Linked DNA regions of Saccharomyces cerevisiae S288C. Changing the gene in region 2 together with the main gene of any one other region gives a genetic interaction. Each region holds a gene or a part of one and is shown on either strand. Other genes may lie near its edges.

Region 1 (8,303 bases), on a different chromosome or scaffold from region 2:
TAGAAATAAAGTTAAATAAATTACAAAAATCAAAAGAACAAATTATCTTTGAGATTATTTTAGAGAAATATTTTAGAAGAGTTTCAATACACAGGCATTTGATAGCAAATCACAAAAGATTTTTCTTTTCAAAGTTGAAAAACCATCTATTATTTCAGTACAAAAAATTGGTATTTTTAACTCAATTTAGAATTTCATACTATTGCACAAAAATTCGTCTGCGCTGGAAAAAGTCAAGCATCTTTCCGTTATATTACCCTAAACTGTATGTAAATACAGAAACAATATTAGAAAGGAAATACAGAATCCTTGATAAAATAATACGCAAGGAAAAACTCATTAAATTCCAAGTAAATTCCTTGAAAGCAACTTCAGAAACCAAGCAGGCACTGCCCGACGATTTATCGTCGGGCACAGACATTTATATGGATAAGATGTTCATTACCTTCAAGTCCACATTATTGTCAAACGTTATAGGTGAGTTGCTTTCGTATAGACTACCCACCCAAAATTTAAAAGTAATAATAGGCCCCAATGTTAATGACATTATTTGGAGAAATATCCTCGATTCATCACCCCTTTGGAAAAGTGCCAAATATTTCTCGGCAAATATATTGCGAATTTTTGTGATTATAGGCTGGATTTTGCCTGTCGCGTTCCTTGGGTTAATATCACAAATACCAAATATTTCCTCACTAATACCGTTTACAAAAATAATTCATTTCCAATCTCCATTTATAAGAGAAGTGGCAAAGAATTTGATTCCAATAGTAACCTTAATAATAATAATAGAAATCGTACCCTACTTTTTCCGTTGGCTGAGTTACCTTCGAGGGTTGAAAACTGGAGCGCAAATAGAAGCTGATGTCCAGAATTGGTATTTCGTCTTTGTCTTCATTCATCTTTTCGTAGTTGTTACAATATCTTCTGGATTTTCTATAATTATTGAGAGGCTTCTTAACAATCCTGTCAGTATCCCTGCTCTCCTGGCCAACGACTTGCCTAAATGCGCAAACTTTTTCTGTTCTTTTGTTTTGATTAGGGGAATGGCTTATGCAGGCGGTAATTTGTTAAGAATAAAAGAGCTACTTTTTGAATTGTTCTACTATAAATGGAAAAGGAGTACTCCACATGCTCAATTTAAGAGGTTAAAGACATCTTTATTTTTCCAACTAGGATCTATTTATCCTATATTCTCAGTGTTGGGCTGTATTGGTATCATATACAGTGTTGTTGCTCCTATTATATTATTATTATGTTGCATCTCATTTTCGATGGTTTTCTTTTCTTTCAGTTACTTGTTCAAATACCAATATAACAAAGAGAACTATTCTGAAACGTTCGGTAAATTGTACATACAGGCCCTTATGCAATTGTACGCGGGCATTTATTTCATGGAATTTTGTTTACTCGGGCTGTTCACTCTTTTTGATCAATACACATTGTCAACTATAATGCTTGTTGTCTTTGCTCTAACAGTAATCACGCACTCCAAAATCTCCAAACAAATAAAATCGAAGCCTCAACGCATACCAACTTTGGAATACTTGTCGAATCTAACAGAGGAAAGGAAGGACCAATTCTGTCAAGAAAGTTATACTTTCCATGATATTTTCTCCATTTGTAGAAATTCGGATGAAATTTGGCTACCAAGGGACAAACTAGGAATTTCTGAAGAAGAACAATCATTTTTGGAGAAGTCGTATCACCTGAAATTCGATCTTAATATGTATTCAATGAATTTATTTGGTGATTGTCACTTGGAGAATAGCCACTTGCACTAACCAAAACTGGAACACCAAAAATGAGGCAGAGAAGATAGGAAAAAGATAGAACAAAAAATTTGTACATAAATATTTATAACTCTGTAGGCTTTTCTTCTCTCGTATTTTTACTACGTGGCCACATACTTGGTAACCTGACAAATTGGAATCTTGGTTCAACGCATCGTTCAACGAACCATTTTTTTATTTGGTATTCAATGACACTGCCGATCTTGGGAATATTTTCAAGTTTAGACCGTGAGCCAATTAGCGACTTGATTTCAAATTCCATTCTATATTCAGGAGAAAAAGAAAACATCAAAAAGTATCCTGAATTGCCCTCCATACCGTTTTCACTACTGCTACCGTTCGAAGTAGAAGCAAACTCCTCTGCATTAGTTAAAGATACGGTCAAACACGCCTGAAACCTCACAATTGACACTACTAGATTTATGGGGAGTGCGGCAATACCAGGCTTTGGATAGTTAAGTAATAGTTTTGTTTCTACTCCTAAAGTTAAGTGGTCATTTAAATCTATATCAATTTTAGCCTCTAGCTTTTTATTTCCTGAATTTGGCGAATATTGTATTCTGCAATTCGAGAAAATGGGGAAATCATCACCTGTATCCAGTTCAGTTATTTTTATGGTATCCAAATATTCAGGCAGATCGGGTGATTTTCTTCCAATAAAATCATTCAAGGAATGAAGGATATTGTCCCTGTGCCAAGCCTCACTGCGGAATTGCTGTATTATTTGGGCAACTAAAACGTTGAACCAGTCCAATGACTCTGCAGGGTGCACGTCGACATTATAATAGGTTTTCTCTAAAATAAGAGCTAGTTCTTGAAGATGTTCATTTTCTGCCTCTTCATTGAGCTCGTAGTGTTGTTTAGCACCCTTCCTAACAAGAGAAGTCAGGAATTCGCGAGATATAAAGGGATATTCTTTAAATTTTGATCTGTGACGGGAGGCTGCAGGTTTCGGATTCTTACTTTTAGATGGCTCATCACTGAATATAAAGAACTTTAGGAAAAAGATGAACAACAACACTATGCTTAGCTGTCCTACAAAAAACCCTTGAGCAAACGACCATCCAGAAAATTTGGAGGACGTTGCTAACGATCCTAACGAAGAAGGATGCAACACGCTTTGCATTTGCAAAGCTTGAATTGCATCATCGAGACCTTTGAAGCTCCCGTTTTTACTGACATTAAACTCTGAGTTGTTTGAAGTTTGCTTTAAGTCATTAGTAGTAGAACCCTTCAAATTCTCCATGATTAGTCTCTGTAAATGTTCAGGTAGCTCTTTGCTTATATAATCGTCAAACGTCATTAACGAATCCGTTTCGGTGGATTCATTCTCACTATCAGTCATTTTCAGAAAAAGGCTACAGGTATTATATTGACTCTCTCAAAGTTCTTTCATCTCATTGAGAAAATTATGAGGGGCACTTATTGTTGTAGATGATCTTTATTGGATGTTGACGGTTCTTCGGAATTGAAACGGATAGGCAGAAAGTGAAAAAATAAACTATTAAGGAAATACATGAAAAGAAGTAAACTGAAATGTATACAAGGGCAACCCGTTCCACGTTGGATTGACTCAATTGTGTCATCAGTAGGAAAATAGATTAAAGTAACCTCAAATAACGGCATAAGCAATGAAGCATAACAGGCAGATGCCAGATGAAAGCTTGGAAAACATAAAAGTGCTACTGAATCCTAAATTAGGAAAGCCAGTCAAGTCACTTACGAGTGCACAATCAAAAGCTTGCTATCATACGCTGATCAGTAATAAAAATTTGAACAAGACAAGTGATGAATACGAAAAGTTATTGGCAAACTATATCCTCCTTTGTGATGAAAAATACCTATGTAAAACCGTAATTCCAGATTCCCGATTTTGGGCTATATTGTGTGATAATTGCCAAAAGCTAAGGTCAGAAACGTTGGTAGCAAATCTCATTAGGATTTTTAATGTAGCCCTTAAATGCCAAGATTCTAATAAGAATGAAGTTATTGTGAGCATCTGCCACATCTCCAGAGAGAACTCTCAGCTCATTGGAATACTTTTACAACTTTTGTCCCAAAGACCTATTCATATACCGTTGTTTACGGACACTATACTATGCATAACCCTATTTTTAAAATGCTCACTTACATTATGTGAGACATCACTATCACACGCCGTAGAATTTGTACCCAGAATCCTCATTTTGCTATTTCAGTATAACTTTCCAGCTTCCATGTCTGAATTACTTTACATAGAAGACTTGCAACCACTAATCCTTGAAGAATTTGTACCGTTAAAGCAGAGGCTAATAAATTTTCTATCTTCGGTTAGTATTGATGATTATTCCTGTTCGCTTAAAGCTGATCTTCTTACAGCCATCAAAGATAACTCCGTATTCCAAAAAGGGTTAGAAATGGAAATGGGCGATCTTCCCAGTATAAATTTATTAAATGCGTATGATACATTCACATTCTTAAACAGTCCTAATGGGTCTTTCAAGAGACTTTACACTGAACAATTGTTGTTTGGCGAGAACGATTTCCCTCTTTATGAAGCAATATTTAAACTTTCAGACCAATTTAGAAGACTTTTCAATCTAAGTGGGAAAAAAGAGAACCAATACTCAGACTCAGAGCGTGATTTAAAATTACAAATTGCTACCGCTGTTCTCAATCGACAAACATGTTTTTACAAAACACTCGAGTTGTTTTTGAGATTTTGGATAGAATCATTAGCAAAATCGCAAAGTGATTTGGTTTCACTGTTAAATTTAGCTATTATCACTTTAAAATATGTTTGTTTGTCATCCAGTGATTTGGAAGCAGCAATACAGACGAAATCCCTTCTCAAGACCCAAGTTGTTGCACTTGACTCTATGAGATATAAATTTGCAAGAACATTACAATTAGACTCAATCAAAAAAGAACAGTATCGAACCTGGTCATCTAGTATCGCTAGCTTCGATACCATGCTATCAGGCCAGGTTCGTGATTACGTTCGTCATCAAAGACTTCTTCAATTGCAAAAGGGAACGTGGGTTTACGCAGAGAACCCACTGAATCCTGAAGCTGGCACGCCTAAAGTCTACTTCCTCATAGTTTCAGATAACCACGCAAATTTATTAGCCAGAGAATTCGAAACACAAACAAACGATTTACCTTATCTATTCGACAATAAAATTTTAACAAGTCCAGGTTCTGAGGCATTAGCTAATGGCAGAACAAAAGTTGTTGTTTTGAAACATATAACCTCTTTCAAAAGCATAGAACTTACTACACCGAGTCGTCGGACGAGCAGTAATGTTTACATCAAATTAGATGAAGCCAATGTGTACACTGGAGTTGAATTAAAAGATCGTAACGACAGGACAGTTTTGAAATTTTATTTAGACACAGAAGAGGGAAGATATATATGGCTAGACGGATTGAAATTGATATCTCCATTCCAGCATGAAGATATATCAGAAGACACGAAAGAACAAATAGACACTTTATTTGATTTGAGGAAAAATGTTCAGATGATAAATTTGAACGTTCGTCAGGACATCATAGTGCCTCCACCTGAACCAAGCGACGAGGACGAAGATGAAGAATTTTATAACTTGGAAACGTTAAAGAAAGTAACCCAAAATTTTTATTTTGATTAAGATACAAATTTGTCGTCAGACGATTTTTTTTTATTTATAACTTTTTTTTACTAGAATGGAATGTAATTTTGTAATTCTTTCCCGCAAGTAGCTTGAGTCTCCATTCAGTTCGTTTGTACTTGAAAAATCCTTTTAATATAGCATATAGCTTGCAGTTTATTAATACTCACTTCTACAGATTCAACAAAAAAAAAGGAATTTTTGACTAATCCCCTGTTTATTAGATGAATTAATGATATTTAAATACAAAGTATTAATAATATAATGACAGTGATAAGTATGTTGATATTTTATGATAATGACGATGAAAATTATTACCTACGGCTTTTGAAGCCCTTCTTCTTATTTGAATTTGTACTCTTCTGCTTTTTAAAAGTTCTTTCTTGATCTGCAATACGGTCGGTTTTGGTTTTTCTATAAGAACGTGCACCATTGCCATCTGCCTTAGCTTCTTCACGCTTTCTCTTTTTGCTGTTAGTGACTTTCTTGTTCCTTGATAAAGCACCTAATACTTTGGAATTTTTCTTATCTGATTCGCTTTGGAACCATGTCCTTCTTGGTCTTGCCTGGATTTCCTTTTTATGCTTCAACATATTTTCACCCTTTCTTAATTGCATTTCAGCCCTTAATATTTCCTTCTCCTCCTTTTCTTCCACCAGAATATCTTCAATCGTATCGTTCATGGATTCAACAAGTTTGTTTGTTTCTTCGATTTGAACCCAGTCTACGTTTCTACCAAGTGCTTTACCTTGAGTTAGGGACTTATTTTCTTCTACACTCTTTATAGCAGCACGTACAATACTTCTATCTTGAGATGATTCACCGACGAAGGTGACGGAACGACCTTCCCTACCAGCTCTGGCGGTACGACCAACTCTATGCAGGTAGATCTCATAACTCTTGGGCATATCGTAGTTGATAACAACCTCAATCTTGGGGATATCAAGACCTCTGGAGGCCAAATCCGTACAGATAAGTACAGGAACTTCCAAATTTTTGAATTTATTAACGGAATCTAAACGCTGTTCTTGGGTTAAAGAACCGTGTAATTCACCCACACTCATACCTAAAAGACCCATGATAATCCTTAACCTATGAGCAGTTTCTTTTCTAGCCACAAAAACGACAATCCTCTTTTGACCCGTTGGATCCAATTTCCTAATCAAATTAAATAACAAGGCAGGCTTCAAATGGTCTCTTTTACGAATACGAACGAATTCTTGTGTCAACTTAGTAGCAGCTTTCTTTGGAGGATCAATCATAATCCTTACTGGTTTTTTTAGAGAAAGACTAACTAAACTTTTAATTTTGGAGTTCATTGTAGCAGAAAACAATAGGTTCTGTCTATTGCTTGGTAATAGGCCCATAATTTCGTTCAGTTCATCTTGAAAACCTTCTTCTAACATTCTATCGGCTTCATCCATAACCAGAATCTCTACTGAGTCCACATTAAAACTTGCTGAGTTCCTGATATGATCAATGAATCTACCTGGGGTAGCAATGACGATGTCCGGACGAGATTTCAACATTTGTTCTTGTTGTCTCAAGTTCAAACCACCAACGGCCAGACCAAAGGTTATACCGGAGACGAAACGTGCAATTTGTTTACCAACGTCAGCGACTTGGATAGCTAACTCACGAGTGGGCAATAGAACAATAACTCTGGTGGAAGCGATTTTGGCTGGTTTATACAACAAACGCTCGATTATGGGAATCATAAACGCAGCAGTCTTACCGGAACCAGTCACAGCACCGGCAATGATGTCTTTACCCAATAAGGCAATGGGGATTGTGGCGCTTTGAATAGGGGAAGGCTTGACGTAACCCAAACTTGCAAGGCCCTTAAGAACCGGACGAGATAAAGACAAACTGTTGAAATTTTCGTACATTTGCTTTTTAGCTTCATCTCCCTCAGTTTCAGGCGCATAGAAATCGGCTTTTGCCTCTTCAGAATCGTCTTCTTCATCTATTTCGTCATCTTTGCCGCCTTTTTCTAACGTCATCTCTTCTTGTTCCTCCTCTTCCTCCTCTTCCTCTTCCTTTTCCTCCTCTTCTTCTTCTTCTTCTGACTGATTTTCGTCTCCATTGTTCATGGGAGCTCCCATACCGAACCCGTCCATTGCTAATTCCTCATCGTCGCTATCGTTTTCTTTTTCTACTTTTTCTTTCTCGGTTTCTTCTTCTTGTTTACTATCAATATGGGCCATTTTCACCAGCCCACCTTTTCTTCTAATAATCTTATCCAAGTCAACGTCCTTCTTCACAAAAGCTTCGGCATCGTCCTTATTGGACTCGCCCTCTGCTAGAAAGTTCCAGCCTTGGAAGTTCGAAGTGGTATCATCGGCGTCCAAATCAAACTTAAACCCCGCGTCCAAGTCCTCATGAACATCCTCATCGAGGTTATCCCCCTCACTAACCTTTTTCTTGTTATTCTTACCCTTCCGCTTCTTCGTAGTCTTCTTAGCCTCGACTTTTTCGTCATCAGAAGAATCTAGAATTGGAACATCGTCTTCACTGTCACTGATTGTAGGGACAAAGTCCAAATTAGAGTATTTTTTAGTTCCTACCACCATAGTATATATATAAGACGCTGTTGTAGGCACACAGCTCCAATTCGAAACCCAAGTTACCAACGTAAATACTCATACTATCTAAGCATATTCTAACTTACAATTTTCAACCTCATCTCATCGCATTTTTTGAAAATTTTTTTTCAAATCATTACCCGGATAATGTTATAACCCTACCTATCTCCTTCAAAAAAAGATAAAATGACGATATATAGCGGCGAATCAGAATCTAGTAACCACCTAACTACTTGTCTCTAGTACAACTAAACAAAATTTTAGTGTACACAATCAGATAACTACACAATCAATTA
Region 2 (7,081 bases):
AAGGCTCAAGCAATGATCATCTTTGTCATTGAACTAGCTTACTTCGTTTGTCTCTGTTGGATAAGACCATATTTGGACAAGAGAACTAATGTTTTCAATATTGCTATTCATTTGGTGAATTTGATCAATGCATTTTTCTTTTTGTTTTTCAGTAATTTGTTCAAGCAACCAGCAGTGGTTTCGTCAGTGATGGCGGTTATTCTGTTCGTTTTGAACGCGGTGTTTGCTCTATTCCTATTATTGTTCACTATTGTCACCTGTACACTGGCATTACTACACAGAAACCCAGATGTCCGTTACCAACCAATGAAAGATGACCGTGTGTCATTCATTCCTAAGATTCAAAATGATTTCGATGGCAAAAACAAAAATGATTCTGAACTGTTTGAATTGAGAAAAGCTGTTATGGACACCAATGAAAATGAGGAAGAAAAAATGTTCCGTGACGACACTTTCGGCAAGAACCTGAATGCAAACACAAATACAGCAAGACTCTTTGATGATGAGACTAGTTCATCCTCTTTTAAGCAAAATTCCTCTCCCTTCGATGCCTCGGAAGTAACGGAGCAACCTGTGCAACCAACCTCCGCTGTCATGGGTACGGGTGGCAGCTTCTTGTCTCCACAGTACCAACGTGCGTCATCTGCTTCTCGTACTAATCTAGCGCCGAATAATACAAGCACCTCCAGTTTAATGAAGCCTGAATCAAGTCTCTACCTGGGGAATTCCAATAAATCATATTCGCATTTTAACAACAACGGCAGCAACGAAAACGCCCGCAACAACAACCCATATTTGTAATCCAATATATACTCACATGTAACAACTTATTATATAAATATTTAAGGGCAAGGATATCCTACATTATATTTCATAGAAAACCGCTCAAAAAGGTGTATTATCTCCATTACATCCCAACACCACACATATTTCAGCGATAAAAACCTTAAATGTGAAATTCGCTTTGGCTCTGCTTCCTTAAATGTACGCAATTGCCGCTTTTTTCTGACATCTTTTTTGACGTGTAGAGAAGGAAACAGATCCTCCAGAAGGGATTTACTGTTGGCTATTTTGTGTTAGAAGCAGGTTAATAATAGATTAGGTTGCGTAAGTCATGGTCGAAAATAGTACGCAGAAGGCCCCACATGCCGGAAATGATGATAATAGCTCTACCAAGCCATATTCGGAGGCGTTTTTCTTAGGGTTCAATAACCCAACGCCTGGATTAGAAGCTGAGCACTCAAGCACATCGCCTGCCCCCGAGAACTCCGAAACACATAATAGGAAAAGAAATAGAATATTGTTTGTCTGCCAGGCTTGTAGGAAGTCAAAAACAAAGTGTGATAGAGAAAAACCTGAATGTGGTCGATGCGTCAAGCATGGGTTAAAATGTGTTTATGACGTATCAAAACAGCCAGCACCACGAATTCCGAGTAAAGACGCCATTATATCAAGGTTGGAAAAAGATATGTTTTATTGGAAAGATAAAGCTATGAAGCTACTAACAGAGAGAGAGGTGAATGAATCAGGCAAGAGATCAGCAAGTCCGATCAATACAAACAATGCTAGCGGGGACAGTCCTGATACCAAGAAGCAGCATAAAATGGAACCTATATATGAACAAAGTGGTAACGGGGATATAAACAATGGTACCAGAAATGATATTGAAATCAACTTGTATAGAAGTCATCCAACCATGATCATGAGTAAAGTCATGAAAAGAGAAGTTAAGCCGTTATCTGAAAATTATATTATAATTCAGGACTGTTTTCTAAAAATCCTGGTCACTTCAGTGTTCCTTGACACTTCAAAGAACACGATGATACCGGCATTGACGGCAAACGCGAATATTACAAGAGCCCAGCCTAGCGTAGCAAATAACCTTTTGAAATTGAAGGAAATGCTAATCAGACAGTGTCAAACCGAAGATGAAAAAAATCGTGTAAACGAATTCACTGATAGAATACTACAAAATACAAATTCAAATAGAAACTTGAAAATCGGTATGCTATTATCAATGCTTTACAATTCTGTCGGTTACCAATATCTGGAGGATCATTGCCCTCAAGGTGGCGAATATTCGGATTTATTGAGAAATTTGATCAATGAATGTGAAGCTATTTTGCCATCTTACGAAATTATTGAACGCTACAAGAACCACTTTTATGAGTACGTTTATCCAAGTCTACCTTTCATCGAATTAGAAATTTTTGAAGAATCATTAAGTCAAACAATTTTTCCGGACCCAAACAACCCCTCCAAGGTGCAAATACGTATGGGTAGCACACATTTGAGAGCTAAGGTGGAAAACTTGAGTCTTCTATTGGTTATCTTGAAACTCTCATACATGTCAATAAGGTTTTTAGATCATAGTACAGCAGACTCGAGTTTTTATCTTTCAAAGGAAATAATTGATAAATACCCAATACCGAACGATTTTATTTTATTGAGTCAAAGATGTCTAGCATCGGAAAATTGGTGTGCATGCGCTAATGAAAACATCATATCATGTTTACTATATATCTGGTCTTTTTTTGCTTTTTCTCCTGAAGAGGGTGATTTCTTTCTCGAGCACCCCACCGATGTTATCAGTAGTTTGATAATGATGCTTTCCACCTCGATTGGTCTCCACAGAGATCCTTCAGATTTCCCTCAATTGATTTCCCCGTCCACCTCAGATAAAAGAACCTTGAATCACAGAAGAATACTCTGGTTGAGTATCGTTACCGTTTGTTCGTTTGAAGCAAGTCTCAAAGGTAGACATTCTGTCTCACCGATATCTTTAATGGCCTTATTCCTAAATATTAAGGATCCTGATTCTCTGACGGTATATATGAACCGAGTTAGGGGCGATCTAAGCGATATCAATAATCACAAACTTTTGAGAATTCATAAATTTACATTCAAGAGAGCCCAGCTTGCGTTACTCCTGTCGGACTTAGATAACTTGACGATGACATACTATGGTAGTTTCCATTTGCATTCAATTGAATTCATAAGAGAAAAGATTGAGATTTTTGTGGAGGAAAACTTTCCCATAGTACCATTAAAAAGTGTCGCACAGGATAAGTCAGACCTTGATGACATGAATGTGATTTCAGAAATGAATATATTATCTTCAGAAAATTCTTCTTCATTTCACAATCGAATAATGAATAAACTATTGATGTTGAGAACTTCAATGGCCGTATTCTTGCATTTTGAAACACTTATCACTAAGGATAAAAGTATCTTCCCATTCTACAAGAAATACTTTATGGTTAGCTGTATGGATGCGTTGTCACTAATAAATTATTTCAATAAGTTTTTCAACGGAGAATATCGACACGCAATATCTTCTTTAACCAGTTTTAATGTTACAAAATTTATTCAGTTAGCACTATCCAGCACAATCTTCAGCCTATTAGGGATTATACTAAGAATAGGTTTAGCCATCCATATGTTATCTTCTGAAGTACAAAAGTTATCGGGAACGACAGATCCAAGAATAAAGGAGTTAAATACCAAAGTCGAAAAATTTAGTACCCTGCAAAGAGATCTCGAGTCTGCTTTAGAAGGTATATATTGCTCTGCTTCGGAACATTTAAGATTCACATACTTCCCCGTTTTTAAGATGTTGGCTTTATTCGATGTCATTGTACAAAGGATGAGAAAGGGTGAATTATGGCACGGCATATTTACGATGATTCAAATGGAACAAATGCATTCTAGGATAATCAAGACATTAAGCATTACCTTAGGAGTCAAACTGGACAAAAAGGATAGGCTATTAGAGGAATTGATGGCATGCAATCACGTTGCGAATTTTAGCGTTGAAGATATAGATGAGCTGAACCGTAATATCAAAAAAGAGATTCAAATTTCTTCAGGATTGAAGCCGCCTGTAAACACAATTGACTTAACCAACGGCGAACCATTCGGAAATGCTGTTCCTACCTTCACAAAGACATGGAGTTCATCCTTAGATAATTTAGAAAAACTATCATCGGCCGCTGCAGTTGGTCAGAGCTTGGACTACAACAGTGGTTTACGTCAGGGTCCTTTGGCGGGTGGTGGTTCAAAAGAGCAAACGCCAATAGCCGGGATGAATAACTTGAACAATTCAATCAATGCTACACCAATTGTCGATAACTCATCTGGATCACAACTTCCTAATGGTTTCGATAGAGGCCAAGCGAATAATACTCCTTTTCCAGGTTATTTTGGAGGTTTGGATTTATTTGATTATGACTTTTTGTTTGGCAATGACTTTGCTTAAAAATTTTCTTTCCAAACTCCTACCTATTCATTTCATCAATTAATTAATATTATATAGCCACGAATTTATGAAACTGACCGATAATATAAAGTGCTCAATATATATATATATGTATATAACGGTTAACGTAAGAAGAGCTCTTCCCTCTTAAACATTCGAAAAATGATTGAACCAGTATATTTGGTCGAGCAAGACTTTCTCCTTCGCATATTTTACGGCAGGTATGGATATATCGCCTCTTGCTGCAAACCCGTGAGCCACACCACTGAAGAGGTCTAACTGGTAAGTAGCGTGATTATCCTTTAATTTTTCCTCCGTTAAGTGTCTTAAGTTTGCCGGAAAGATGTGATCCTCTTCCGCTGCTGAAATCAATATTGGTTTCTTGCTATCAATTGCTTCAATTTCCTCGATGCTGACGAAAGATGGATGTGCAATGGCTGCAGCATTGGCAAGACCCCCGTCGCCACTAATGTGTTGGACGGCAAACTTTGCACCAAAACAGTAACCCACAACGCCAATAAACTTTGGGTCATATTCAAGTTTTAACAACTTCATGAATCCATCAACAATTTTCTTGGTGACTTCAGGAGAATGTCTTTGAAACCAGGCATCACGATCAATTGGTTTGTCCGATGAGATAGCATCGCCGAATAAAATATCGGGAACAAAGACCATGTACCCAGCACTAGCAAATTTGTCGGCCGTTAATAAAACATTGTTGAATTTATTGCCATACACATCTGTCAAGATAACTATAACTTTTTCCTTGGGAGATGTAGAGCCTGCTGCATAAGTATCTAAACCGAAGATTTCTTCACGACGACCCTTGGGTGTTCCATCGTGACAAACTCCTTCAAAGCAACACTTGCCAGGTTGATTAGATGCCATTTGATTGAAATAATTTTGTTCTGCTGTAGTTAGACGTAGTGGAAAACTTTAAGTCTACTGAGTCTTGAGACCTTATCACCCTTTGAAGGTTTCTTGCAAATGAGCGTGGTTTGGCATTTTTTATCGGAAAGAAAAAAAGGGCTCCGCCTTAGGCCAGATATCATAGAAATGCAACACTTCCCTAATATAGAAATTTGGGCATTAATTATTTTGAGAATTTTGATGATTTGAATAATTTCATTAACGTAAAGGAACATAGTGCTACGAATCCAACAGTGGACCCAAAAATGAGAGCCGTTTGTCTGTAGTCGACATCTTTTGCTGCTGTTTCTTCTGGCAATCCCGGAGTGTTTTTGCCAGGATCAAGAGCAGCTTCTGTGATTTTAATAAACAATTCATTAAGGGAACTTAGCCATCTGGATGATATGTGCAGTGGGTGGTTCACAAATAGCTCGTCTGCCAGTTCATCTGGTTGGATTTGACACCTTTGTTGCTGCTTATCCAAATCTGCCTTAGAAGCTACAAATACCAACGGTAGATCTTGTAAATGTGTGAATTTGTCTAGAAGCGAAACTAAGTAGGAGAATGATTCTGGGTCGCTGGAATCGTATGTTAGACAGATTACGTCACATTCTTTTAACTTATCCTTATTCTCTAGTATGGCGTATTCCTGTTCTCCAAGTTCTTGCAAAATCAAATAGTACTGTTTCCCACCTTTGAGTTCTAAACTATTGACTGCAATTCTTGGTTTGATTGTCGGAGAATACTCCTCCGAGAAAGATCTGCCCAAGAAGGCCTCTAGCAAAGAGCTTTTGCCGCAACATGGCTTTCCAATGACAAAGCAATTGAACACTTTTCTGTCATTGATATTGGATCTGTAAAGTTTCCCGGAACGGCGTCTCATTTTCCTTGGCTTGGTTACTTGTAGGGCTAGTCTTGCATCTTCCTGAAAGCCAAAATACACCAAGTAAGCGGTAGTTGTGCTATAGTTCAAGAAAGTCGTCATACTCCATTGTGCTAGCCAGCCTTGTAAGGTGATGCAACCCTTGTTGTTTACGACAGTGGAGAAGGGGAAATTCGTTGAGGTCCATAGTTTAGGCAGCCCTGGTGTGCACTTAAATAGACGATGTAATTCTTGATTATTCAAACCACCATCATTGTCGATATCAAACTTCAAAAAAATATCTACAAGAAATCTGTAGCCCTTGGGGCTCAATTCCACACTGGAAGTGTCAGGGACAACCAACCTCGGATGGAGAATTTTGTCATTAATACACAAGGAATCTGTGTAATGGAAAGTTCTTAGGATAGCCCATGTAGTTTCGTGTCTCCCCCTTTCAGCGTATATTTTGTTCAGTACAAGGAAACCATCTTTGGTGATGCCTTTTCCCGGTACGTATAGCTTGCGGTTAATGTACTCTTGATCGTGCTTGGAAATATCCAAAAGCAAATCTTTAATAAAATTCAGTTCGTTTACATCGATACTCTTATTGAAGCACTTTTTTTGTAAGCCCAAGATTTCGTTGTCATCTAAATATGAGTCCTGGTTTAAATCGCTTAAAAGAAAAATTCTTTTTAAAGCCATGACAGCCAATGGCTTTAGTTCACCTACCATGGCATCAAATAAAGGTGATATTGGGTGTGTTATAGCCCTTTGGCAAAGATAAAACGCTTGGTTAAGATCAAACTGTGTCTTGGCACTTGTCTTAATGCAAGTGTCGATTTCTTTAAACTCCATTAATATTGGGATAAATTCTTCATCCTCCACTTTGGTATCGATATCATCATCACTGTTCTCTGACACGACCATTGCATTGGCATTAACATTCGATATGGAATCACATTTATTTTTGCAGAGAATGACAGGAATATTCAACCCCAGGGATCTGAAATGAGGCAACCAAAAGAGAGAAACATGGTCATACGATTCGTGAT
Region 3 (8,267 bases), on a different chromosome or scaffold from region 2:
ATGATGAGAATGCATCAAGAGCCGCTAACGAATTGGTTAATAGTGCGTTTGGTTATGAATACGAGTTCAAAATAGATCAAGAGATAGATCCCAATAAAGAATACGAATTTTATAACCTAATTGTTGTTCCATTTTTGCAAATTATGAACATAATTGTAACTTTTGAGAAGGACCTTATCACTTTTACTTTTGAAAAGGATACTAATGAGAATACTCTAACAAAAGCAATCGAATTACTATCCAATTATTTGGAAACACAAAAGACGAAAATAATATTTAAAAAAATAATTAAAAAATTTGTTCTAGGGTCTGCCTCCAGCAAGAGTAACACCAGTAATAGCAATACCAATGGCAATTTCAGATCAATGAATAATGCCAAAAGTCGTACGACCATCGATAATACCAGCCAATCAGGAGCCTCACCACAACGCCACAAAATGCCTGTTATAACGACGGTAGGAGGAGCCCAAGCCATCAAAGGATATATACCAAACACTTATTACAACGGATATGGGTATGGATACGGATATACATACGAGTACGATTATAATTATGCCAACTCTAATAAAGCTCAAACCAATAATAGGCATAAATATCAAAATGGCAGAAAATGAGAAGGAAAAAAGTTCAGTAGTATTGTAACGTTCTACGCACCTTTTCAATGGATATGCACACCACAAAATATGTCATTGCGCATATCCGCATCTATTACAGTATTTGATTGATATTTTACCATACATACTAAAAAGCTCCGCTCCGCTCCTCTTTTACGATAATGATCTTTATAACCTTGTACCTAATGTCTCATTGAGATATATCAATGTTGTATCGAAATCACTAAATACTTTGAAAAGCGGAATCTTTTTCTTTTCGGTTTTATTTAGCTTAGTTAGCGGACTAGAAGTAGTTTTCAAATGAGAGAATTTGACGTCAAGCTCATCATGGCCTATTCCTCTATGCAAAATCGATCTGTACTTTTCATATTGCATTGTTAAAAGGTTCTTTAAAATTTGCCTGCAATATGTGTTGTCCCTTGCAATATCCCACTTTTGAACTTTTGTTTCGGGCAAGTATGAACAGCTCTTCAGAACAAATTCCAAGGTTCTTTGCATCTCAGTCACGGGGAGTATCCTTTCACAACATTTCGTGTTGCTGAGAAGCTCAAGATTGATTTTCGACCTCAAGCCATCAGGATTGAATACCAAGTATCGTTTGAGTTCGTAGTTTTCTTTCATAAACTTATATCGAACATAATCCCTGTAAGTATCTTTAACCATTTTCACATTCGATATGAAAGGCTTAAGCCTCATAAATCGGCGGTAAAATAGCTTAACAACTGTACTTCTCTCAGGTGAGTCTGCATCTAGCTTTTGAAAACGTGAAGGAAGTTGGTATTTAGAATGCGATTTAATAAGAGTATAGTCTGGAGTTATAATAGCTTTTGCTGTTGTTATCGTAATAGAAGGCTTACGCATTGTGTTATCCGCTTAACTGCGATTAACATGCATACGTATGATATACTCGAGCTAGTCTCATAAGCTTTCTTCATATATGGTTGTCATGGCAAACTTCGATGTTCGTCGATAGTGACAGGTTCCAAAATTTTTCATTCAGCTCATCGCATATTTTGGAAATTCAAACAATGATTAACAACCGATGTGTGAATTAATCTGCGAGTCAGTTAGAATAAAAGATCATTAGGGCCGATAATAGCTACGTGGTGGGAAGGCTGGAATAATGGTTAAAGTAAAGTCGAAAAAGAACTCATTAACAAGTTCTCTAGATAACAAGATCGTCGATCTTATCTATCGTCTCTTGGAAGAAAAAACTTTGGACAGAAAAAGGTCTCTGAGACAAGAATCCCAAGGAGAAGAGGGCGAGAACAACGAGGGTGAAGAAGATGAGGATATATTTGAATCCATGTTTTTCGCTAAAGATTTAACAGCAGGTGAGATTTTTACCTTTTGTTTGACTAAAGATTTATCACTTCAAAGAGTTAAGAAAGTTGTCTTACAAAAGACAATTGACCGCATGCTAAAAGACGTGATTGAATCAGAATTGGAAGAATTTGGTTCTTACCCAGGTTACAACAACGAAGAGGAAGAGAAACCAAGCTTGGAAGAAGAACTAGCTAAGAAAAATATGATGATTGAGCGAGACACAAATGAGATGAACAAACGCATAACTAGCACGTGGTCCAAATCTGGATCTGTTTCCGAGTCTATAACAGAAACTGATGATCCTAAGACAGAAGAGGTTAAAAAATCTAAAAAAAGATCCAAAGAAGGTACATGTAAGGTAAAACGTCAAAAAATCAAGGAAGATAGATCTCCACCTAATTCGTCTCTGAAATCCTTAGGTGGTATGGATGATGTCGTTGCACAACTTATGGAACTAATAGGTCTACCCATTCTTCATCCAGAGATATTTTTATCCACGGGTGTCGAACCACCTAGAGGTGTTCTGTTGCATGGCCCACCGGGTTGCGGTAAGACGTCGATTGCTAATGCGTTAGCTGGAGAATTACAAGTCCCATTTATATCTATTTCTGCACCTTCAGTCGTAAGTGGTATGTCTGGGGAAAGCGAGAAAAAGATTAGGGATTTGTTTGATGAAGCGAGAAGCTTGGCACCATGTCTTGTTTTCTTTGATGAAATAGATGCCATTACACCAAAACGTGATGGAGGAGCCCAAAGAGAAATGGAGAGAAGAATAGTTGCCCAATTATTGACCTCAATGGATGAATTAACGATGGAAAAGACAAATGGAAAACCTGTTATTATCATAGGTGCCACGAATAGACCTGACTCTTTGGATGCAGCATTGAGAAGAGCAGGTAGATTCGATAGAGAAATATGCCTGAATGTCCCGAATGAAGTCTCAAGGTTACATATTTTAAAGAAAATGTCTGATAACCTAAAAATTGATGGTGCTATCGATTTTGCCAAATTGGCAAAATTAACCCCAGGCTTTGTTGGCGCTGATTTAAAGGCTTTAGTTACTGCTGCCGGTACATGCGCTATTAAAAGAATTTTCCAAACCTATGCTAATATAAAATCCACACCAACTACGGCAACGGACAGTTCAGAAGATAACATGGAAATTGATGAAACAGCAAACGGAGATGAATCTAGCCTGAAGAACACTGCGAATATGATCGATCCGTTGCCTTTATCCGTAGTCCAACAATTTATTCGTAATTATCCTGAGCCTTTATCAGGAGAGCAGTTATCATTATTATCGATTAAGTACGAAGATTTTTTGAAAGCGTTGCCAACAATTCAACCAACAGCAAAGAGAGAAGGGTTCGCTACGGTACCTGATGTTACTTGGGCTAATGTAGGCGCATTGCAAAGAGTTAGACTTGAATTAAATATGGCTATTGTGCAACCCATCAAGAGACCAGAGCTTTATGAAAAAGTGGGAATTAGCGCCCCTGGTGGTGTTTTATTGTGGGGACCACCAGGTTGTGGTAAAACGTTACTAGCAAAAGCTGTTGCCAATGAATCTCGTGCAAATTTCATATCAATCAAAGGTCCTGAATTATTAAATAAATACGTTGGTGAATCAGAAAGGTCCATCAGACAAGTTTTTACTAGAGCAAGGGCGTCTGTACCGTGTGTTATATTTTTTGATGAACTGGACGCTTTGGTGCCAAGAAGAGATACTTCTTTGTCCGAATCCTCCTCAAGAGTCGTCAACACTTTGTTAACGGAATTAGATGGGCTGAACGATAGAAGGGGAATTTTTGTGATTGGCGCCACTAATAGACCTGATATGATTGATCCTGCTATGTTAAGACCGGGCAGATTGGATAAGAGTTTGTTTATTGAGTTACCTAATACTGAGGAAAAACTAGATATTATCAAAACTTTGACCAAATCACACGGAACACCTCTGAGTAGCGATGTTGATTTTGAAGAAATTATCAGAAATGAGAAGTGCAACAATTTTTCAGGCGCTGACTTGGCTGCTTTAGTCAGGGAGAGTTCAGTCTTGGCTCTAAAAAGGAAGTTTTTTCAGAGCGAAGAAATACAATCTGTTCTTGATAATGACTTAGACAAGGAATTTGAGGATCTATCGGTTGGCGTATCTGGCGAAGAAATTATTGTGACCATGTCTGACTTCCGAAGTGCATTAAGAAAGATTAAACCCTCTGTGAGCGATAAAGATAGACTGAAATATGATAGATTAAATAAGAAAATGGGTTTAACGGAGGAGATGAAGGATGCGGAAGAAATGAAACAATAAATTTATAAATAATATTTTGGTAAAGTCCCTAGAAGTTAGTATGACTTAGATATTGAAGGAATATGAGTATACATAACAAATATATAAAACTTTGCATGATTTTTGTGTATCCTCTATCTTTCACTATTAAAAAATGTACGATTACCTTTTCTTTCTATCTTTTCATGAATTGGCCACGTCTCATGACGTTCTTACGAACTTTCCACACATGTTCCAATTTTTTCCTTCTTTCAAAAGTTGCGAACGGTATTTGTATATTATCATCCCATGTAATTGTGCGGGGGGATGGAAGAAAGTCACAAAAAGGAGTTTCCGTCTTATTTCTTACTATTATCCATTGAGCATCCTCAGGTTGTTTATCTAAAATCTGGGTATGGCAAGGTGGCACGTAAATGTTCATTATTTGCTGGGAGGTGTCAATAGAGTGTATCAGCCCCAGAGTTATGAAATTTTTAGAAGAAGAAGTACACGATTGTAGGATGGGAAAGGTATTCAAGGATTTCACCTCTAGTGAGTCTTCTCCAGAATATGTATATATCCCAATGACAGTACCTTCCAATGCGGACTTGATATCTTGAGGATTCAGATCCTGGAATTCCATAGGAAATTGAATGCCTTTAATACCGCTTTTACCTTTGCCATATGAAATTTGCAAAGGTGCAGATTTTAAAAGAGGCGCAAAATCATAATCAAATTGAGTTATTTTATGAAACAGTGCCAGTATTTTGAATGTTCTCAGTTGTGATGCATGGAACCTAGAAGATAAGGTGTGGTTCAGACTATGGGCTGGAACGCGAACAACTTCAGGTGCATATGCATCTCGTAGTGATGTGGAAAAACTCTGTGGAATTGTTAGTTCATCCAGGTGTCTTTTCGAATTAGCTGTTTCCAAAAACAATAAGTGAGTGGGCTTATATTTCCTTATTATATGATTTAAAATCTGCATCCCGAATCCTTTTATCCACCCAGGTAGATTAAGCAATGACGTTCCGAAGAAGGCTTGCTCTTCCAAATGGTCTATAAGTTTATCAGCGCAGTTCAGGTATGATGTGGGCTCGTCCTGCGGGGAAGAGGAGCCAGCGTAGAACTGTAACAAAGTTTGGAAATTTGAACCTTGGCAGAGATGTTGTCCGAGAGAAATAGGGCTGGAAAGAATCTTATTCAGGGATATTGAATCAGGTAGTGAGTATTCAGGTTGACCAGGATCTAAATCCAGGTATACCAATTCTTCCTGGCTCGTAGTAGAATCTCGTATATCTTGCGTAAATTTTTCCAATAAAAGCCTCAAGAATGTAGACTTCCCAGAGTTTTTACCACCAATCACCATGATTCTTGTATCATACGCAGCGTTCTTGTGACTCAAATATAACTTCTCTAACGGAGTTGACCAATATCCCGGCACGGATAAAGATTGAATTCGGTCTGACTCATGTAATAAATGATACGTTGTTCTCTCGTTTAATGGAAAGTAAGGTTCTTTAGGTTTCCATAGATAATTAACATCCCGATATAAATGACCTGCTTCTAACAAGCCCGTATGATTAGAATTAAAAACGCGAAGAACACATGGAAATGATTTGAATTCTTCATCTCTAATTTTAAACCTGTTGTTTCTCGGCATAAAAAAAGTGTCTTGCCAGCCTGCAAAGTGCGAAAAATCTATAGTAGGTATGGACTGTGATAACGGGTGCCAGAAGGTTAAAATTTCTCTCGAAGCGTTATAGTGTACATTGTTGTAGACAATACCTCCTTTCACCACTTGCAGCCGGAAAACACCAGATAAATGTAACTTCTGTTTTTCTTTCAACCCCACAAACATAGTTTCATCTTCATCTCCTTCATACGTTATATTATCGATCAATTCAGCATCCAGCCCGTTCAAGTCATCACCTTCGTCGTCCTCATACTCTTCACTATTGAGAACTACGGTTGCACTTTTTGAAGATGGAATTGACGGAGATTCCACAATGAAATTATTACTTGAGTCTGAGTCCGATTCTGAACCTGAATCTTTGGTATATTGAGGTAGATCCTGTTTGGAATCTATCACCATAGCGGTAGAATATAATAGAAATGATTATCTTCTTCTCTCTGCCAAACTAAACTGCAGTCTTTCCTTATTTCAGAAGGGAAAGATCAGGAGTGGGGAACCTATACTACCTGCACTATAAGCGTGAATTAAGACAACTTAAATGCAACCTAAGCCTTAGGCGCAGAGCACTCGATGACTTGGCAGGAATAAATTTCATGTTGATAAATTTCGTACTTTTTCGGGTAGCAGCGGTGAAAAATTCGTAAGGGCAATTTTAGAAAGATGCAAACTTTCCAAGAAATATTAAAGACCAAAACATAGCCAAGAAAGCCAACTAGGGAACAATGCTTTGTGCTATTAGTGGGAAAGTTCCTAGAAGGCCAGTTCTATCACCTAAATCCAGGACTATTTTTGAAAAGTCGCTCCTTGAACAGTATGTTAAAGATACGGGGAATGATCCGATAACAAATGAGCCCTTAAGCATCGAAGAAATAGTGGAAATCGTACCTAGTGCGCAACAAGCCTCACTAACAGAGTCTACAAACTCTGCTACGTTAAAAGCGAATTATTCGATTCCGAATCTGTTGACAAGTTTACAGAATGAATGGGATGCTATAATGCTCGAAAACTTTAAGTTACGATCAACTCTAGATAGTTTAACGAAAAAACTGTCGACTGTAATGTACGAAAGAGATGCTGCAAAGTTGGTCGCTGCGCAACTATTGATGGAAAAAAACGAAGATTCGAAGGATTTACCCAAATCCTCACAGCAAGCGGTAGCTATTACGAGAGAAGAATTTTTACAAGGGCTGTTACAATCTTCTAGAGACTTTGTAGCGAGGGGCAAGCTCAAAGCACCCAAATGGCCGATTTTAAAAAATTTGGAGCTATTACAGGCACAAAATTACTCCCGTAACATCAAAACATTCCCATATAAAGAGCTTAACAAATCTATGTACTATGATAAATGGGTGTGCATGTGTCGCTGTGAGGATGGTGCTTTACATTTTACCCAATTAAAAGATTCGAAAACGATTACCACAATAACTACACCAAATCCCCGTACCGGGGGAGAGCATCCAGCTATTATTTCCAGAGGGCCTTGTAATCGTTTGCTACTACTATATCCAGGTAACCAAATAACTATATTGGACTCAAAAACAAACAAAGTCCTCAGAGAAATAGAGGTAGATTCCGCCAATGAGATTATATATATGTATGGTCACAACGAGGTCAACACAGAGTACTTCATCTGGGCGGATAATAGAGGAACCATAGGATTTCAATCCTACGAGGATGATTCCCAGTATATTGTTCATTCTGCTAAATCAGATGTTGAGTACAGCAGCGGTGTCCTACATAAGGATTCATTATTATTAGCCCTTTACTCTCCGGACGGTATATTAGACGTTTACAACTTGTCATCACCTGACCAGGCAAGCTCTAGATTCCCCGTAGATGAAGAAGCCAAGATAAAAGAGGTTAAATTTGCAGACAATGGGTACTGGATGGTAGTAGAGTGTGACCAAACTGTGGTTTGCTTTGACCTAAGAAAGGATGTCGGCACGCTAGCGTATCCAACTTACACAATCCCAGAATTCAAGACGGGCACCGTTACCTATGACATTGACGACTCTGGAAAGAATATGATTGCATACTCAAACGAGAGCAATTCGCTGACGATATACAAATTTGACAAGAAAACAAAAAATTGGACTAAAGACGAGGAGAGCGCCCTCTGTTTGCAAAGCGACACTGCCGATTTCACTGATATGGACGTGGTATGCGGAGATGGTGGTATTGCCGCTATTCTGAAGACAAATGATAGTTTCAATATTGTTGCATTGACACCCTAAATACGCTGACACGTTTGTACTTTCTAAATAAACCTGTGTAATAGTAGTAACATTTCCAGTAAAAATTTCATTTCCTTCTCTTTTTACATCTCTAGGACAACGCTTTAGTGAGAAAAAAAAAAAAAGAA
Region 4 (6,980 bases), on a different chromosome or scaffold from region 2:
ATGAATTGGTGTTGAATTTTGAGAACGATAATGAAAATAACAGTAATGGAGGAGAAGATACATCAGTTGAAAATGAAGGGCCGGTAGCCAATCTCAAAGACTACGAATTGGGGTTAGAAGCGCAGGCTTCTGAAGAAGAAAACGATCTTCAACAGAAACTTAACACCAGAATGCAAAGAGGACATCGCGCCGATGTAGGTGGGCAATTTTCTAAGGTACAATTTGATGCCAAAACGAGTTATCCAAATGAAGTTCTCAAATTCAACCATGGAAATTACAGTCACTTAATGGAAAAAAACAGGATTAGAAAACTAACCGGCCAAAATTTTCTCACCTCTAACATAAGTAGTTTGGTAAGGTCATGTGGTGAGGAAGAATTTTTTTCAACAAATTGGTTAAGTATATTTAACGACTTTTCCAATATAAAGACTAGCGAATGGGACTTATATCCCCAAGGTTTTAGTTCAGTTGAAAGAGGGAGAAAAAGAGCACATTCTTTAGTATCAACCCAAAGCTCAAGTAGTACCAGAAGTCACGAATATGGTAGGAAAAGTTTTCGCAATAATAAGAACGATAATTATTCTTCCGATATGGAAAATGATAATTTACTTTTAAACCTTGAACAAATTAATGAGGATTTGGAAGATGGGCACTATATTGAAGAAAACTCTCAAGGTAACATCCTAGATTTTAATTTGAATCTACCTCCTTCAAGTTTTGGAAGAAGTCATACCAGAAACTCAACCAGGTCTAGTGGTTTCAATGAAGATATAGTTGGTGCTCTCAGAAGGAGAGTCGGGCCATCTGAACAGAATTTTGCCGAGGAAGACGATTCCAGCAACAGTTGTTTTTCTGATGGCTCTCAGCAAAATTTGCAGCAGGACAAAACAAATTTTCAAGACGTCATTCTGGATTATCAAACTAAAAAATTCTACGATTACATCAAAGAAAGATCAATTGTTGTCGGAAGAACAACGCGCTCCAATCCGCCTTTCAAGAGAAAGATGCTGTTGGTTGACATCATCCCAAGCCGCATGGGCGAAGCTCAAACGGGAGCTAACTTTGATGATGTAGAAAGAGGTGTCAGCAGACAGATAGCCGCCAGTGCCTTCCTATCCTTACTGAATTTGGCTACGAAAGGGATGGTCAAGTTGAACGAATATCCTGTTGCAGATGCGGTAACTAAAGATCTTAAACTGAGAAGAGAGGACGAAATAATTGTATATGCCTGAATTTTTATTTTCTCCTTCCATATGAGCGACAGCGGTTACTAGCCGCTGTCCTCAGGTTAATGATCCAAGTCCGAGATCCGGGCCGAATATGCTTGCGGGGAAAGAAATAAAAGTGCATTGGAGAAGAAAAGGATATGCTCTTCAATTAGAAGCGCCGAAACACTAACATCATGCTAGCGATATCATACGTACACTATATAATGTAAAAAATGGGCTTAAGAATAACTCTCTTATTTCTTAACTTTTGTTGCGGTTGAAGAGCTTATAAAAGTACTAGTGGCCTAAAGAAGCTACAGCGCCGATAATAATATCGATTTCGACTTTTCTAGTATTTCGCCGATGATTACAATGATTAACAACAAAACTTTCAATAGAAAAACTACGGGAACACTGAAGAAGCTGGTTTTGTCATCAGACAAGTCACTGCGAAGATCTTTCAACGGGGCAAGCAGTACTAAAGACTTCGTGTTCTCGGAATCAAGTAAAGTAGAAGAATGGTGGGAATCAGCCAGATTTAAGAATATCAGTCGTCCATACTCAGCTACGGATGTTGTAAAGCATCGGGGCAGCCTTCCTGCTAATACTTCAATTTATCCTTCATCTTATCAAGCTCGAAAGCTGTTCAACTTACTAGAAGAGAATTTCAAGAATGGTACTCCACTTCACACGTTGGGAGTTATCGATCCTGTACAAATGAGTCAGTTGGCCCGTTGCAGAAATATCAAAGTTGCTTACATATCTGGTTGGGCTTGTTCTTCCACATTAGTTGGATCTACAAATGAAGTATCGCCGGATTTTGGCGATTATCCATACGATACTGTGCCGAATCAAGTGGAGAGAATATTCAAGGCGCAGCAATTGCACGATCGAAAGGCTTTCTTGGAGGCCTCCATCAAAGGTTCTACTCCTGTTGATTATTTAAAACCAATTATCGCGGACGCAGACATGGGTCACGGTGGCCCAACGACTGTAATGAAAGTTGCTAAGTTGTTTGCGGAGAAAGGGGCTGCTGGTATTCATCTTGAAGATCAGATGGTGGGAGGCAAAAGGTGTGGCCATCTAAGTGGGGCTGTTTTGGTGCCCACAGCAACACATCTTATGAGATTGATTTCCACCAGGTTTCAATGGGATATCATGGGGACAGAAAATTTGGTTATTGCAAGAACAGATTCCTGTAATGGTAAGCTGTTGAGTTCAAGCAGTGATCCGAGAGACCACGAATTCATTAGGGGTATAATAAGAGATAACGTGGTGCCTTGGAGCGAAAAATTGATTGAGATGGAGGACAAAAAAATTCCCAACTCCGCCATTGCTGACATGGAAAAAGAATGGTACCATGAAAATGAGCTGTTTACATTTGAAGAGGCCTTAGAAAAGCAGTTTACGGCAAGCGAGTTTGAAAGCTATAAAGAAAAGAAGGAAGACCTTATGGTAAACAAGCTGGGTAGAGCATACCTAAGCTTAAGAGAAATGAAACTTTTAGCTCAAGAAGTGACACCACTAAAGAAAATTATATTTGACTGGGATGCTCCGAGGACCAAAGAGGGATATTACATGTTTAACGGTTGTATTGAAGCAGCTATTAGAAGATCTTTGGTGTTTGCCCCATATTCTGATATGATTTGGCTGGAAACGAAAACTCCTGACCTGGAGCAGGCACGCTCATTTTCAAGAAAAATTCATAAACAACTTCCAGCTACCAAGCTAGTATATAACTTATCTCCTAGTTTCAATTGGAGCGCTCACGGCTTTGATGATAAGGCATTAAAATCCTTCGTATGGGACTTGGCAAAAGAAGGCTTCACGTTGCAACTGGTTTCCCTTGCCGGTCTGCATTCAGATGGAGTATCATTCTGGGAATTAGCCAATAGCTTCCAAAGTGACGGAATGAAAGCATACGTCGAAAAAGTGCAAAAACGGGAAAAGGAGACTAATTGTGATATCATGACACACCAGCTATGGTCTGGTGCAGAATATGTTGATTCCTTAATGAAAGTTGTCCAAAACGGTGCTTCATCCCAAACTTTAAGTACATCTGGTGAGAGCTTTACCGAAACGCAATTTTGAATACGCTTCAAGAAGATAAAAGTATAAATAATACATATTGCCAGCAACTTAGTCACATATCTCTTTTATCTCTATTTATCCTCTTTTTATTAATTTATGACCACGATCACTATATTTAGTTCGAAAGTTAGTGTTTGTTTTGCCAAGATATCCTCGCAGAAACAGTTTTACTTAAAGTTTCAGGTGTTGCGTGGAATGCCCCTGCTAAGCTGTCGTGTCGCGCTCTTCCCCGCGTTTGTTTCACATTATATATCATATGGCGTATGACGGTATGGGTGAAAATAAGCGTAGGCTGGTTGTGTGTATTTCTCTCGCACTTTGAAAGGGAAAAATAAAAATAGAGTCTATTAGGAAGCTCACATATGCCGGGAAAAATTACGTAAAGCATCAAAAGGGAAAGAAAATATAGGGAAAGATAAAACAAAAAGCAGAACGGTATCAGGCATTCTTGTTTTAGCCTTTATGTACGATATGGCGTTTATTATGGAGAATATTGAGGTATTCAACTATTTAATACTTGCTATAAATTCTGCCAAACTACTAATCATTCCGTTTATATAACTCAAGAAAAGAGAAATACAGAAACAAATAGATCAGATGCATTTCAAAGATTTAGGATTGCATGACTACACTCTCAAAAACTTGATGTATGAGAATAATTGCTGTAAATTTTATGATGCCGTGGATGAAAACAACATCTCATATGTTTTAAAATTTGTTCCCTCAGATGTGACTTCGGAAGGGGATACTTTCCCATTCGTGGATCGCTTTCAAGTAAAGGAAGGTGTTTTTTTGGTATATTCCTCAAATGACTTTGGAAAAGAAGGTACGGACTACTTTACTTATACTGGTAGTGGTGGAAATGAGGTTCACATCTCGGGCACCTCTTCAGAAGCAGGAATAAAACCGCAGTTTATTGAAACTTGCCATCCAAAACATCTTAAGCGGGGAACAAAAGAGCAGGAAGATATAAATAGTAGTACCTCAAAGAAAAGTGCAGTTATCAACAATTTTTCGGGTGAAAAAACACCAAATCCAAGGCCACAGAGTTCCAACATTTCAGAAAGAGAGACGTATGTCGGAATATTGAACGTCAAATGTAAAAATAAGAACTCATCGAAAATACGAAGTGAAAAATTGGTAAGCTCCGTCATCGAAACAAAGCATACGCCAGGATTGGCATCTATTTTATCGAAAGAAGGCACTACATATCCGAATAATGCGGACGGGAAACATATCAGTATCGTGAATCCATCCTCAAAAATATATCATTCATCCCATAAACAGATTGTTAAAACGCCTATCCCTAAGAGTGGCCTTTCTCCAATTGAGAGATGCCCTTTCAATGGTCAAAATATTAAATGCTACTCACCAAGACCACTAGATCATGAAAGTCCCCAACGTGATTTCAATAATAACTTTCAGCTGAGAATACTGAAGAGCTCGGTGTTGCAAAGGAGACAATCAACACAGAATAGTTGAAAAATTCGTTGGTACTAGCTTCGGGTCGGTTAGCTGCGCTGCTATGCATTTGTTAATATCTCCATCGAATTTTTGTTGTTTCGTTCAATAACTTTATTACTTCCCCCTTGGACTCTTTCGTTCTATCGTTCTACAAGTCCAGCCAAAATTTTTCCCCTCTTCCTTTTCTTTTGTTCACTTCTTAGCTCACTTATATAATTATATACTGATATTTGGATTCTTTTGTTGCAAATATGCTCTCCCAGATTTTTCTGTTGAGATGATTCATGCTTTACATGGATTGAGCATTAGAGAGTAACTATATCCAATTTCGTAAGACGAGTATCTACTTTCCCTTGTCCCCAGTAACCTCAGGAACGTGACAACTACTTTTCTTAAACTGTCAACAGCCAATGATACCGTATTCAATGCATGTCTTGGGATTAAGCCACTTTGATTGAGTTCCGTATTAGTAGTGAGAATTAAATCTTGCAAGATATAAGAATTACTCAACAGAGACGAGATACTTTCCTTTTTTTGGTTCTTTTGTTGTTACTTGGCTTAATGGACAAAGTCTGCTCGCATATTGTATATGTTACTCTTACGATGTGACTCCGCCCGTTTATTATGACTTTTCGGTACATTTTTAGGGCCTCGAACGAAAATCTACTAACTAAAAATTAAAAACAATTAAAATAATCAACAAACAAAATCTAGTGATATAATTTACTACCATTAACGGTAAAGCAGCTAATTGTTAATTTCTATGTTTAAATCATTGGCTGCTGTCTTGCCTAGAGCTAGCAAGGCAAAGTTCCTCCAGAAAAATTACGCCTCCACTTTAGCTTTCATTGAAAGCTCAAAAGATGGCTCTGTTTCAAGGTCATCATTGAGTTTATTGGCTGCTGCACAAAAGTTGTCTAACCCTATCACAGCTGTAATCACAGGTAGCAAAGCTGAAAAAACTGCTGAGGCGCTAAAATCTTCATATTCATGCAGCAATTTAGAAAAGCTTGTCATATTTGAAGATTCAAAATTAGATACCTGTCTTCCCGAACAACTAACTCCGTTATTAGTGAAACTATTAAAAGGCGGCGACTATTCACATTTTGTTGTCTCAAACTCCTCTGTTGGAAAAAGTGTTTTACCTCGGGTGGGTGCGCTCTTGGACGTCCAACCTGTTTGTGAGGTTACTGTAATCAAAGATCCTAAGACCTTTATAAGGCCAATTTATGCAGGTAACATTATTTCTACAATAGAATGCCAGGCAGAAAAAAAACTGTTGATTATTAGGGCATCAGCTTTTCCACCAATTGCAGAGGGTAGTATGGATTCTGTTACCATTGAGAAGAGAACTGATATTCCTCCTTGTGACTTAAATGTTACCTGGGTTAAAACTATTCTTACCAAGAGTGAAAGGCCTGAACTTACTTCTGCACAGAACGTGGTAACTGGTGGAAGGGCACTCAAGGATAAGGAGACATTTGAGAAGCTATTATCGCCGCTAGCAGATGTTTTGCACGCTGCTATAGGTGCCACAAGAGCTTCTGTTGATAATGGACTATGTGATAATTCTCTACAAATCGGTCAGACTGGTAAGGTAGTCGCACCAAATTTGTATATAGCCATTGGCGTTTCTGGTGCAGTTCAGCATTTAGCGGGAATGAAGGATTCGAAAGTTATCGTTGCCATTAACAATGATCCTGATGCCCCTATATTTAATGTCGCTGACTATGGGTTGCAAGGGGATCTTTACAAAATAGTCCCTGAACTAACTGAAAAACTTGGTAAATATAAATAAATAAATTCTTAACTTCTAAATATATTCATCTCTTCGCTTTGAAGGGGGCACGTTTTACTTTTCCTAGTTCTCTTGCCTTTTTAAAAATGACCTTTTCGGTGTAAAGCGGACTAAATATAAAAGACTACGAGAAATGGCAAAGGAATAATAGAGTTCTTCCAGATGGGAGAATATGAGGAGAACAATAACTCCACAAACTTCCTAGTGATTTCCAAGAACTTACGGAAACAATTATAGGATGACATCAAATAATTCGTTATTGGGGCGTGGAAGGATGTCATATTCCTCTACCGCTCCACCAAGATTCAAAAGATCAGTCGACCAGCGTGACACTTTCTCGGACAATTTTGATTATGATAAGGATTCATCCAATCGAGGCAGGACCTATATTGCAGCATCTAATTCAACTACTGGGGTAC

Evidence for each region.
Region 1: mutations in AIM2 (region 2) and LMO1 together harm fitness more than expected from each alone (negative genetic interaction), as found in Saccharomyces cerevisiae (one large-scale study listed by BioGRID).
Region 3: mutations in AIM2 (region 2) and GRC3 together harm fitness more than expected from each alone (negative genetic interaction), as found in Saccharomyces cerevisiae (one large-scale study listed by BioGRID).
Region 4: mutations in AIM2 (region 2) and HAL1 together harm fitness more than expected from each alone (negative genetic interaction), as found in Saccharomyces cerevisiae (one large-scale study listed by BioGRID).

The regions. Positions count from the first base shown.
Region 1 is NC_001144.5:131,421-139,723, reverse strand, and holds LMO1 (Lmo1p), read left to right. Parts: upstream 1-3,424; coding exon 3,425-5,422; downstream 5,423-8,303. Other genes in the region: SPO75 (Spo75p), read left to right, coding at 1-1,784; ERMES complex subunit MMM1, read right to left, coding at 1,858-3,138; YLL006W-A (uncharacterized protein), read right to left, coding at 3,203-3,379; DRS1 (putative ATP-dependent RNA helicase), read right to left, coding at 5,737-7,995. UniProt on the Saccharomyces cerevisiae protein: Forms a transiant heterodimeric complex with DCK1, that acts as a guanine nucleotide exchange factor (GEF) for the small GTPase RHO5. DCK1, LMO1 and RHO5 relocate to mitochondria upon oxidative stress and trigger cell death.
Region 2 is NC_001133.9:47,450-54,530, forward strand, and holds AIM2 (protein AIM2), read right to left. Parts: upstream 5,147-7,081; coding exon 4,406-5,146; downstream 1-4,405. Other genes in the region: flavin adenine dinucleotide transporter FLC2, read left to right, coding at 1-801; oleate-activated transcription factor OAF1, read left to right, coding at 1,115-4,258; ERMES complex Ca(2+)-binding regulatory GTPase GEM1, read right to left, coding at 5,352-7,081.
Region 3 is NC_001144.5:66,617-74,883, reverse strand, and holds GRC3 (polynucleotide 5'-hydroxyl-kinase), read right to left. Parts: upstream 6,305-8,267; coding exon 4,406-6,304; downstream 1-4,405. Other genes in the region: YLL032C (uncharacterized protein), read left to right, coding at 1-614; IRC19 (Irc19p), read right to left, coding at 783-1,475; putative AAA family ATPase RIX7, read left to right, coding at 1,738-4,251; E3 ubiquitin-protein ligase PRP19, read left to right, coding at 6,628-8,139. UniProt on the Saccharomyces cerevisiae protein: Polynucleotide 5'-kinase involved in rRNA processing. Required for the efficient termination by RNA polymerase I and the processing of the IST2 pre-rRNA internal transcribed spacer localized between the 5.8S and 25S rRNAs.
Region 4 is NC_001148.4:563,588-570,567, reverse strand, and holds HAL1 (Hal1p), read left to right. Parts: upstream 1-3,896; coding exon 3,897-4,781; downstream 4,782-6,980. Other genes in the region: REC8 (Rec8p), read left to right, coding at 1-1,232; methylisocitrate lyase ICL2, read left to right, coding at 1,572-3,299; AIM45 (Aim45p), read left to right, coding at 5,527-6,561; YPR003C (uncharacterized protein), read left to right, coding at 6,800-6,980. UniProt on the Saccharomyces cerevisiae protein: Involved in salt tolerance.